4 linked regions of the Kluyveromyces lactis genome follow. The protein of the gene in region 2 interacts with the protein of the main gene of each other region in a pairwise test. Links are inferred from orthologs where the notes say so. Each region holds a gene or a part of one and is shown on either strand. Other genes may lie near its edges.

What was found. The genes of interacting proteins can lie anywhere in the genome.
Region 1: the proteins of MRS6 (region 2) and YPT52 interact in binary tests that used the Saccharomyces cerevisiae proteins (3 or more experiments, as listed by UniProt). The link is inferred for Kluyveromyces lactis from reciprocal best matches to the Saccharomyces cerevisiae genes MRS6 and YPT52.
Region 3: the proteins of MRS6 (region 2) and SEC4 interact in a protein complementation assay, tested with the Saccharomyces cerevisiae proteins (2 studies listed by BioGRID). The link is inferred for Kluyveromyces lactis from reciprocal best matches to the Saccharomyces cerevisiae genes MRS6 and SEC4.
Region 4: the proteins of MRS6 (region 2) and YPT7 interact in a protein complementation assay, tested with the Saccharomyces cerevisiae proteins (3 studies listed by BioGRID, with this or other methods). The link is inferred for Kluyveromyces lactis from reciprocal best matches to the Saccharomyces cerevisiae genes MRS6 and YPT7.

Annotation. Positions count from the first base shown.
Region 1 is NC_006040.1:200,200-202,638, forward strand, and holds YPT52 (Rab family GTPase YPT52), read left to right. Parts: upstream 1-1,312; coding exon 1,313-1,936; downstream 1,937-2,439. Other genes in the region: KLLA0_D02354g (uncharacterized protein), read left to right, coding at 1-858; SCP160 (Scp160p), read right to left, coding at 2,247-2,439. UniProt on the Saccharomyces cerevisiae protein: Required for transport in the endocytic pathway and for correct sorting of the vacuolar hydrolases suggesting a possible intersection of the endocytic with the vacuolar sorting pathway.
Region 2 is NC_006040.1:533,127-536,868, forward strand, and holds MRS6 (GTPase-activating protein MRS6), read right to left. Parts: upstream 2,347-3,742; coding exon 514-2,346; downstream 1-513. Other genes in the region: KLLA0_D06215g (uncharacterized protein), read left to right, coding at 1-18; KHA1 (Kha1p), read right to left, coding at 3,406-3,742. UniProt on the Saccharomyces cerevisiae protein: Substrate-binding subunit (component A) of the Rab geranylgeranyltransferase (GGTase) complex. Binds unprenylated Rab proteins and presents the substrate peptide to the catalytic component B.
Region 3 is NC_006041.1:1,073,869-1,076,446, reverse strand, and holds SEC4 (Rab family GTPase SEC4), read right to left. Parts: upstream 1,149-2,578; coding exon 504-1,148; downstream 1-503. Other genes in the region: VTC2 (vacuolar transporter chaperone), read right to left, coding at 1-23; proteasome activator BLM10, read right to left, coding at 1,514-2,578. UniProt on the Saccharomyces cerevisiae protein: Involved in exocytosis. Maybe by regulating the binding and fusion of secretory vesicles with the cell surface. The GTP-bound form of SEC4 may interact with an effector, thereby stimulating its activity and leading to exocytotic fusion.
Region 4 is NC_006040.1:109,357-111,910, reverse strand, and holds YPT7 (Rab family GTPase YPT7), read right to left. Parts: upstream 1,128-2,554; coding exon 504-1,127; downstream 1-503. Other genes in the region: KLLA0_D01243g (pirin family protein), read left to right, coding at 2,128-2,554. UniProt on the Saccharomyces cerevisiae protein: Ypt/Rab-type GTPases are key regulators of membrane trafficking and intracellular vesicular transport.

The DNA of each region.
Region 1 (2,439 bases), about 330 kb from region 2:
GCTCCACAGAGTTTCCAAACGATGGTCACTTCCTTGACTATGGATCCAAAACGCATTTCAATTCTTACAGAATTGGGTAAATACTGGTACGCTTTGTGTTTCAACTACGGGTATCTCTCTGCCAATTCTCGAGTATATTGGTCTCTCTTCACCGAACTTAGTGGAAAACCATACAACTCCGTGGCTGGATTTCAAGATTGTTTGATCCAATTTGGATCCCTTTACCTATTGCTACATACTCATAACCTGTCCGTCGAAAGAACCACTGTCAATAGATTCTTATGCATTTTCGAGGACAAGTTCAACGACTGGTTGCTACAAGCTTCAGAGGAATTGTATTGCCCCCTACAAGAACATAGATTACCTCAGATCCTCAACATCTTGGAGCTTTTGATAGGGTACTCTTCTCCTCAACTAAGGCAAGATATCAGAACCTGTTTTGTCTCGCCACATAACTCATTCCATTGCCCCTTCGTCAACTCCTCTTTCATTAAGTTGATCGAATCACCAATCAATAATATCTCGAACACTACTACTTCGATATTAAATCTTTTACATCTTAGACACAACAGGGAAACTCACAGATTGGAGCCTTTGCCTCCAGTTTCTCGTGAATCTTCAGTGTGTTCTTCCATATCGCATGATTACATCACCTACTCCGGACTACCCACGCCATCGGCAAACACCACCACTGCAGCATCAACTGTTAATTCCAACTCTTCAATGACTTCTATCGCTGAGCAGGATTCCGAGGCTGATAATTGGCCCGAGGAAGAACAACTCTTGGAAGCAGAGAAGATCGGGGCCGCTATCCAAAGGCTTAACGAGCTGGGCTTTGTTAAGATGTCTACTGAATGAGATAATAAGCATGCGCACGATACTTCTTTCACTTCATTTCACTTCACTTCACTTCACTTCACTTCACTTCACTTCATTTCACTTCTATTCGATTAATGTTAGCTACTATTTATTCTATTCTATTTAATCAATACACACCCCAACTATATTTATCAACCAAATCAGCCTCTTGTCATTGTTTTAAACGTCACGAACTCCCCTCAAATTACCAATCACGTGATCGACAATTCGTATTATCCAACTTAAAGGCTTTCAGTCATTGAAACCTTTAAATTCAGAATCAACAGGTTTCATCCCTTCCAGATAAAAAGATAAAAAAGTAGAGAAACTGGAACGAGTAACCGCGGGTAGAAGTCGTATTGGACATTTTGTTTCGAGCATTCACCAATATCAACCCCAGGTTTCCTATACTGCTGATTCTTTCTAAAATATCGCAATTTACTTCCCATAAATTATGCTTCAGTTCAAATTAGTATTGTTGGGAGATTCTTCTGTTGGAAAATCCAGTATTGTTCATAGATTCGTCAAAGACTCGTTTGATGAGTACAGGGAATCGACTATAGGTGCAGCTTTTCTTTCACAAACTATTAAATTATCTGAAGAGTATGATGAACAAGTTTTGAAGTTTGAAATTTGGGATACGGCCGGTCAGGAACGCTATAAATCTTTGGCACCTATGTACTATCGTAATGCAAATGCCGCTTTAGTTGTGTACGATGTCACTGAACCAGATTCTTTGCCTAAGGCCAAGCTTTGGGTTGATGAATTGAAAGAAAAGGTAAATGACGATAAGTTGATCATCTGTCTTGTGGGGAATAAGTTGGATCTAGTATCTGAAAGGGAATCGACCTCTTTAGTCGATGAAGCGGACGCACGCGAGTTTGCACAAGAGAATAATTTGTTGTTCCACCAGGTCAGTGCTAAGACTGGAGAAAACGTAATCAAAGTCTTCCAAGATATTGGTGAAAGATTATATTTGCAGAACAAAGATAAGATACAGGAATCGAAGAAACCTAATAATAATAATATATCATTGCAAAGACCAAGTACAAATGATTCACAGTCTTGTTGCTCATGAAGACGGCTTTATTCGTATGCCTGCATATAGATCTTCAGGCCACAATAAATATATATATACGTTTACGTATAACCATGAAACACACGCTAGCCCGTATAAATCTTTAACATTGAGGAACAACCGAGGATTTTGAAGAAATAGTTTTGTTTACATTTTTTGATATAGGTTTTAAGTGTATTCAGTATACATGATTAATTATGTGGTATTAATGTAAGCTTATGTAGTGCTAATCTGTGCAGCGTTGAACACCAATAGAGGAAATAAATACAAGAATTGGATCAAAGGAACGGACAAAGTGAAAACATTAAAACTATTTTAATCTCTTGCAGATCAATTCAGCTGCCTTTTTCACACCTTCTTCAGAGCCTAGGACATATATAACATTGTTAACCTTATCGCTTTTTCTTGGAACATGGATAACAGTTTTAGTGGCATTTCTGATTTCTCTGATATTTCTACCGTTTGGTCCAACAATAGAGTTAAACTTCTTTGCATCCTTGGAC
Region 2 (3,742 bases):
ATAAGAAGCCGCCTCTGAGCTTTAATTTAATGTTTTTTCCTCGCTTTCGAGAATGACAATTAAATCAAAGAGCAGTTAAGAAGCCGAACACTATTCTTTTGTTAACTTTATGTATGAGAAGTTAGGTTAATATCATGTATAATCTTAATTAAGGTTTTGCTATTTTTGATTTCCAGGAACTGAAAACAAGTATGAATTTTTCCTGCATCTGCCTTCTATGGATAACTTAAATAACGTTTCGTTTTAAGATTCCCAGGTAGTGGGTTGAATAAAGGTATGTTTATATCAAAGAGTGCAATTCGCAGTAAGAAATACAGCTGGATCCAAAATATGCTTATGTGACGCAAATCTTATCTAGAAGATGTCACTTTTTTCTTTTGTGGATAGATAATTCCATATAATACAAGGTTAGACACATCGGGTTATTTCAATCAATCTGTCAAAGAAGGAATACTGATGCTATTGGAATTGAAAGCATTGTCGCTTGAAAACTTGAAGAAGCTTGACGCTATGTCATATTTCCATCTCGCCTGCAAATTCAACTGGCTCTGAGTCCATCATTTGAATATCTTCTTCATCATCTGCGATAGCACTTTCATCGTAGCTATTAATTGTTTTATTGGTATTTTTTAGATCTGGTTCGTCATTTTCAAAATCAAGGTCGAAGAAATCGTCATCACTTCCTACTATTTTTTCATAAAGGAACTTTGCTGCAGTAATAACTTCATCATATGACACTTCTCCTGATGGCAACGAAGTATAAAGAATTCCATTATCTGATGCGCCAGGAATAAATTCTTTAGATTTATTCAAATCAAATAAGTCTGGAGTAACAATATCAAATGGAGGAGTGGATGTGTATTGAGTATAGTACAATTTCATGATGAAGTTTACCCGTTCTTTTGAAATGAGTTCTTTGAACGACTGTCCCAGTTTTACACTGTTGACTAGTGGAACGCCATTTGAATTGATTTGTACAAGTTCATCCTCATTGGGTATATCCGAGGACTCCCTTAAAATACTATTGATCATTGCTTCAAGTGCAGCATCAAGGTCCAAATCACCTCGAGGACCGGCTTGAGTGGTTGAGAAGTACCAAACGCAAGTACCTGGTTCGCAAACTTCGGCTCCTGAGCCTAAAATCACCACCTGTACGGCTTCAACGTTTCCTGTCTTCAATGAATCAGGTGGGAACACGACCATAGCAGCACTTTCTCCTTCACTGAACCACTGTGAGCAGTCTTTTTCCACAACACAAGTGAGCCTATGCACTTCGTACTTCTGGGGAGGAATGTTACCGCCATTCTGGGGATGTTGGGTAGGGGATGCGACAACCTTTTCTGTGACTCTTACTCTTGAACCGTCTTCAAAAACCGCAGTCTGGGAGTTCGGATCGTATGATACCAATTTATGATTGAGTTTATAAGTGGCACCAGCCACTGCTGCTGATCTGCAGAATCCTTGAGATAGTTCTCCCGGCCCACCATACTTTGAATATAGGACTGGGAAAGGTCCGTAAACGTCAAAACTAGTTAAAAATCTTCTGATCCTTGCTAAACCTTCTGGTGTCTTAGTATCCAGATTACGACACATACCAATTGAAAATATTAATTCAAAAACTTGAGGTTTTTCTAGCTTGAATTTATCGACTAGGAAACTAGCAAGTGGCTGTTCAGCGTATGGTTTCCAAATGTCCGTGCTTTTTTCCCATTCTAGCACAAATTTAATGAAACGCATTAAATTGCGTTTCGTCATCAATGGAAGAGTTTGGTCAGTAAATATTTCTTGTTTCGAGTTCGTTAACCTTTCAAAGTTATCATTCTCAAAGGTATGGAAGTTGGATAACGATTGGAACTCCAAATACTGATGTACTCTTGATTTAATTAGAACTGAGAGTAGATCGGATTGTGCAAATAGAATCTTGGGACTTAAATCAATACCAAAATTCTTGGATTTGAATTTCCCCTGAGCTACCAACCCGGAGACATAGAGTCTGGCATCTTTGTAAAACCGTGTTTCGTCTGAGTCTTCATTCACTTGATTTGTCCAATTCTTCAACTGATCAATTGTCATTGTAGCCCATGTGTCCCCATAATAGTTATTGGAATCTATATGCAAAACGGTGGATCCCTGCCATGCTAAAGAAGCAGATAGAATACTTTCAATCAACCCGGTACCAGCAATGAGTACATCCACTTGTTCCGGTGTAGTTTCCGGTAAAGGATCCTCGATACCAGCCAAATGTGGCACAACGAGGGAAGTTGATTGTAAGGAGCCGTCAGGACCGGGAGAAAAGAAGGAAGGACGACGTTCCGCCATAGAAGGGCGGCGCTCGGCATTCAGCATTTTAATTTTTTTCCGCTTGTAGTGTTTAACCGAGACTTTAGATTAAATATAGCTTATTCTATAACCAGTTCTTATGTCTCTTTAAGGGAAAAGCGAGAGAACAAAAAGTCAGATATGAACGACCTTAGAAATTCCAAAAATAGCCTGATACGGTTCAGAGGTTGGAATTTTACTAGTAATGAGATTATTCACAGGTTCCTGTAATGTTATTAGGAATTCTGTAAAGCCTAATTTTGAGCGGTTTGCAAGAACCAAAAAAAAATTCTCAACCGCCAATATCGCTCAAAGAATGACAAAAACAGCACTCTTTCGATCTGCTTCTTATTCCAGGTTCTAGCTTTAGAAAGGTTGGTGCTTTTCGATAATAACAGTTTATTTGTACCACGTACCTGTGGTATTCTGAGGTGGAAACTTTAATGGATATGTATCTTAGTTACGCCTTTAAAAACTGTATTTAATTCGCACAGATAATGAGTATGTGTTTTCAATTTTTTTTTTTTTTTTTTTTTTATCTTCACGGCTGGCAACGAGAAATTTTTTTTTAAACTCGTGAATCATTTCCCGTTATTATCGACAGAACAATACCGGAAACAATAGCAATCAGAGCCCCAGCTTGAAATGAAATATCGCTTTAAAATGATGTGGAAACTAAACGTGTCAGGGTATTTTTATTCAGGGATCGTTTAAACTTGCTGTGCTTTCAGACAAAACTTTACTATGGTAAAATTACAGCGACAGTGCGACATATTTCATTTTTAGTGCTGGCATGTGCACGTGATAATAATACTGTCGCGTCATATTATCTTATTGTATACAAATTTGAGTTAATCACCTTTTTCAATTGTGAAACTCAGATTCGGAACCAGAATCTAGAATCAGGACAGATATAATGTTTCTAATGCATGGATTTACTGGTAATTGATAACGGATTGCCCAACTCTATACTAAAGCACAGCTCAGTGGTGTTATTAAATGCTTATATAAGTAGACGAAATATTGAATAAACAGGGTAGTAATCGGGAACTACTGAACCATTAAACATTTAGGGTTCGTTGTTGTTCACCTATGACAGATGGCTACCGTAGAACCACTTTTAGAAGCTTTCGTTACAAGCACTTTAGAATAATCGTCTAAACATGTAGACTTTATAGAATCTTGTGGTAATACCACCAAACTCTTATTATTAAGTTCGATGTCATTGAAGACATCAACACTCGCAACTGCGGAATCAGTTTCGTTAGTCGATATAGTTGTAATATCCAATTTTATCAGAATGGAGGATCTGAGAATCTCTTGCAGTTCTCCAAGAGCAACCAGATGCTCTGAAACGGTAACAATTTTGATAGTCTTGGCATGTAATCCCATCACTAATCCCAAGAACAAGGCCATATAGTCA
Region 3 (2,578 bases), on a different chromosome or scaffold from region 2:
GCTAGCTTCACACCAAATAGCATTGTGCCTTGAATTTAAAAAGACCAAATCCCTCTTTTGACAATATTATAAGGGTTATAATAAACAGCAACCCTTCCTGGTTATAAAGCTGAAGATGGTGATCAGGATTACACTTCTCAATTCAAGATACAAGGAAGCTGAACAAGAAAATAGAAATCTACCCAACTGTTTATTGGCTAAATAAAATCTTTAAGTCCATCCTTATATCTGTTTCTTTATTTGCATTTCCTTCTAATGCACTCTTTATATAATCATCGATGCCCTTATATTGGGAAAGTTGGGCAATTTTATATTGATCTTGAGTGGCACGTGGAGATGGTCATGTGATTATTTACGTCACGTGTAAATCACCTGATTTGGAATGGTCGTGTAAAGTTACCTTTGAACTTTCTAATACATACCATTTGAATATATATATATATGTACACACACAAAGCCAATGCATAGGTTGTTATTTCTTATTGTACGCTCTGATCTGTGGTTTAGCAGCAATTGGACTTGGAGCCTGAAGAGCCTGAGCCACGAATGCTTACATTTCCCTCCTTTTCAGCCTTTCCTTCCATCTTACCATCATCGATCTTTTCTTGGATCAACTTGGCCAATGTGAAGAAGATTTCGCTGACGTTGGTGTCGTCTTTGGCACTGGCTTCAATGAATGGGATCCCTAGCTCCTTAGCAAGAGCTTCACCTTGTTCGTAAGACACGGTTCTTGTATCCATGTCCTTTTTATTTCCGACTAGCAGCATTACTACATCCTCGCTAGCATGTTGGTTAACAGTGGAGAACCATTGTCTGATGTTTTCAAAAGTTCTTTCGTCAGTAACATCGTAAATCAATACAATACCCATGGCACCTCTGTAGTATGCGGTTGTGATGGTTCTGAACCGTTCCTGGCCAGCAGTATCCCAAAGTTGTAACTTCACACGTTTCCCATTGATGTCTACGGTTTTAATCTTGAAATCGATACCGATTGTGGTGATGAAAGTTGGTGTGAACTTATCTTCAACAAAACGAACCAAAAGACATGATTTACCTACACCGGAATCACCTAGAAGTAAAATCTTCATGACAGAATCATAGTTTTTATTCGTGCTGCCGTTAGCAGAAACCGTTCTTAATCCAGACATTATAGTTTCAATCTCCCTTGTTTCCTTCACGCTTCAATTAAGTGAAAAAAATTGATATCACAGTTCAACACTGTTATTTTATCTCGATATATTGGAGGAGTGGCGAGCTGGTTATATCTGGTCAACAGAATCTGGGTTTTAATAGCTCGGCCGTAAAGTGTTTGGGTTAGTGCCTTTCGTGATGGCTATCCTGCTTTCACCCTTTCAAACAATATTTGTCCAAAATCTAGATACTGATCGAATTCGTATATGGTGATAGGCATACCCAATGTCAAGTTAAATTATACGATTTATACTTGTAGATGTACATATATATTCATGTGCATACGCAGCTTGTGGGTCATCTGTGTCGATTGTGCAACTTCTCAGGCGTAGTAACTCCTCCAAAGAACACCTTCCATATCTTCTAATTGCTCCGAGGTGAACTGGTATCTGTCCAAATGCCAGGTATCTGCTCTAACTTTCTTGTATCTAGAGATGATGTTCTTTGCATCAGCACCGCACATACCGCTTGTTCTTGCCCAGGACGCTAGTAGTGCCATATTCTCTGGAATCCAATTTGGTAACGGTGAAACGTACGGGAATGCTTCGATGATGGCACCGAGACCCAAGATCGCACCGTGAATATCTGTGTTGGATTTGGAGAGTGCAGCTTTCTCCTCGAAAGTATATGAACCAAGTTGACGCTTGAAGTTTTCCAAGAGAGTGTGCAAAGTATCGGTATCATAAGATATGTTATGCACGATACCGGCAAGGACATAGGAAGCCTTGAGACGAACCTCTACAAAACTCTTACAGAACAATTTGTCCAAAACGAACTCTAAGATCTTCACTTTACCAGCATGGTCCATAACCAACGATTGTGTGGAGAAAAGTTTCTCTGCTAAAGTCAAATTCACACGTAATTCATGAGAGCTAGTCAAATCTGTGTCATCCAAGATCGAAATTATGTCAGGTAACAACGTGCGGCTTATTGGAATGTATGCAAGTTCCACGTAAATACTGTAAACCTTAATGTTGACCATTTTACAAACATCTCTCATTCTGTCTAACTTCATCAAGAAGGGTGCCAAATAACATTTAGCAAATGGACCCAGACACACTCTAGCACCAGTATTGATTAAATGAGCAGCCCAATAGAACATAGTTGATGCCAAGTAGAAATACCTAGTCTTCAAGATGTCCTGAGCGGGTAGGTCCTTGATCAACAATCTTTCTTTTTCAATTTCGTTGAAGATTTTAATAGCCCTCTCTCTCAACCAGCTTGGGATTTCTCTGATCTCAATTGGACCAGATGCCCCCGTTTCGAGAAGAGACTTCACGTTTGGACGATGAGCATTTGCCTTTATGTAGAAGATAACTGAGAAAAGTTTACCAACTTCACGACGAACCACGTCGGAAGGATGGTCAAAGACTAATTGATCGAGTAA
Region 4 (2,554 bases), about 420 kb from region 2:
TAGCAAGCTTAGACGCAACCAGATCGAGGTTTTCGACTGGTATGAAGTTTGTTCTTGCATTTCGGCAATTACCAGAGCGTATTGAAGATTAAACTTTTCGGCACGTGTGGCATGTGTCTGTACAAATGTTTATATAAAGTGCGCATATCAGAAACAGAAGTCGGGGTCAAAGACACCAAAGAGGTGTCAAACAAAACGTGTTGTGCAGAGTCTAATCATGCTAATGGTTACTCTAATATCAACTCGAGATTTAGATTACATTACATTAAGACTAATTACACGAAGGAGCGTAGTTTCTTTAGATTTTCTATGTAGGTGTGTTAAATTAGATTTGCTTGAAGATTCGTTCCGAGATGTATCTATACGGTATGGGAACAATCCAACGCTAATACGCGTGTTTTCTGACGGTTAGCGTGAAGAAAGTAAGGGAAGGGCAAAAGACAACAAAATCTATTTGTTCCCTTCCCTTTCAGTCGTATTTGATGAGACGCATGCTTTATCAGTTAACAGTTACATGAGCTAGGTTCTCCGTCCAACTGAATATTGATAGCTTCGCTTAGGTCGTCCTCATACGCATCCGCATCAGATTGACTTTGTTGTAATGCGCTGCGTGCGATTTCCTCAAATGCGTCCTGGACATTAATGGAATCCTTGGCACTAGTAAAGAACAGAGGTACGTTTCCCAAGGATTTAGCTTGCTCCTGCGCAGATCTAGAAGAAACCACTTTTTTCGATTCTTCTACGTCAACTTTATTAGCTAGAATTACAAATGGGAAGGTTTCTGGCGAGGAGACGTTCGCATGAACCAAAAACTCATCTCTCCACGACTTCACATTATCGAACGACTTACCATTGGTCACATCGTATACTAACACGCAACAATCAGCACCTCTGTAAAATGCAACACCAAGCGATTGGAATCTCTCCTGACCAGCAGTGTCCCATACTTGCATCGTCGCAACCTTATCGTCATTCACAATGACTTCCTTGGTAAGAAAATCTGCTCCTATCGTAGCCTTATATTGTTGAGAATACTTGTCGTTGACATATCTGTGCATCAAAGATGTCTTACCAACACCCGAATCACCTAGAATGATAACTTTTAGAATATTCTTCTTCCTAGACATGGTAATTTGTGACTAAAAAGTATGAATAAAGGTCCGAAGGTATACCTTGTATGCTCTTTTTCTTTTCTCCTTAAATTTGAAGATAACCTATGATGATTAACAAGGACAAACTATTCTATCGTATTTTTTTCCTTAGTATATAAAACGTTCACCAGAATATCCAATATAACGTATTTCTTATAACGAGGTGTAGTTTGCTCGATCACTGCAGTTGTCTATGATCAATATTATTCGTTTTTTAGCCAAGAAAACATCATTAATAAAGAATGTAATGTGTTATCGTTATTAACAAATAATTACTCTGAATTGAATAATAAGTTCATCCTTTCATATGGATTTCAATATTTACTTGACTGAAAACCATAAAAGTCAAATGTGTTGAAGCAGACACTGAGTTTATTACCCTGACTAATCAGGGTAATGCACCACGATAAGCATCCCTGCATCACACTCGTTGCGAATACTTGCTTATTAAATGTAGACAGAAAAAAAAAATGTGTCAGCTCTTACTAAAGGGAGAGGAACTTTATTGCAGGACCCGATGAGAGCTTATATAAGATGAGTAAGTTGCAAAAGGATCAGCACTCCCTCAGAAATATCAATGTTATTATACATCATTATACATTATTATACATTTTGAACATTTGTCATTGTTCGAAAGTATATTTTCTTGTGTCTGTCTTAAGGTTTTCATCTTAGGCTAGTCATTTGTATTGGTAATTCGGGGTAAGGCATTGGTACTTTGATTTGGATTTTAAAGTATATAAAGGATACGAACTATCGATTAGGTCTAAAATTTTGCAAAATTGGAATTCAATTGAGTGGTAAAATTGTAGAAGTCATTCTAAATTGTATGCTCCAACAATTAAGCTTCAAGTATAACTTGTCAACACCTGTGTTAGTTCTGGTTATATCGATTGCAGTTTATTATTTATCACCTAGCTCATCGGTCTTACAAGCCTTGGAAAAGAGTAGAGATCAGCGTGTTATGTCTTCATAGATGGGTTTGAACGTTGTTAGTAAGGTACGTTCTGTGTTGAAACACTTTGTTGCCATTGAGCAGAGTGAGGGTGCTGGTGCCCTTGTTAAGAGGTCCATTGGGACTATACAGATGAGAAACTTTCCACCATTCTTAATGTTGGATAACTTCGATGTGTCTCCACCTGCCGGGTTCCCGGAACATCCACATCACGGTCAAGAAACCATTACTTATGTATTGCGCGGTATGATGGCACATGAGGATTTTACTGGTTCTAAAGGAGTTCTACGGTCTGGTGATTTGCAGTTTATGACTGCAGGCAAAGCGATTGTCCATTCAGAAATCCCCGTTAAGATGGATAACGGTGAATCCACCCAGGGTTTACAACTTTGGGTTGATTTACCCAACGATATAAAAAACGTGGAGCCACGTTATAGAGATCTACGTC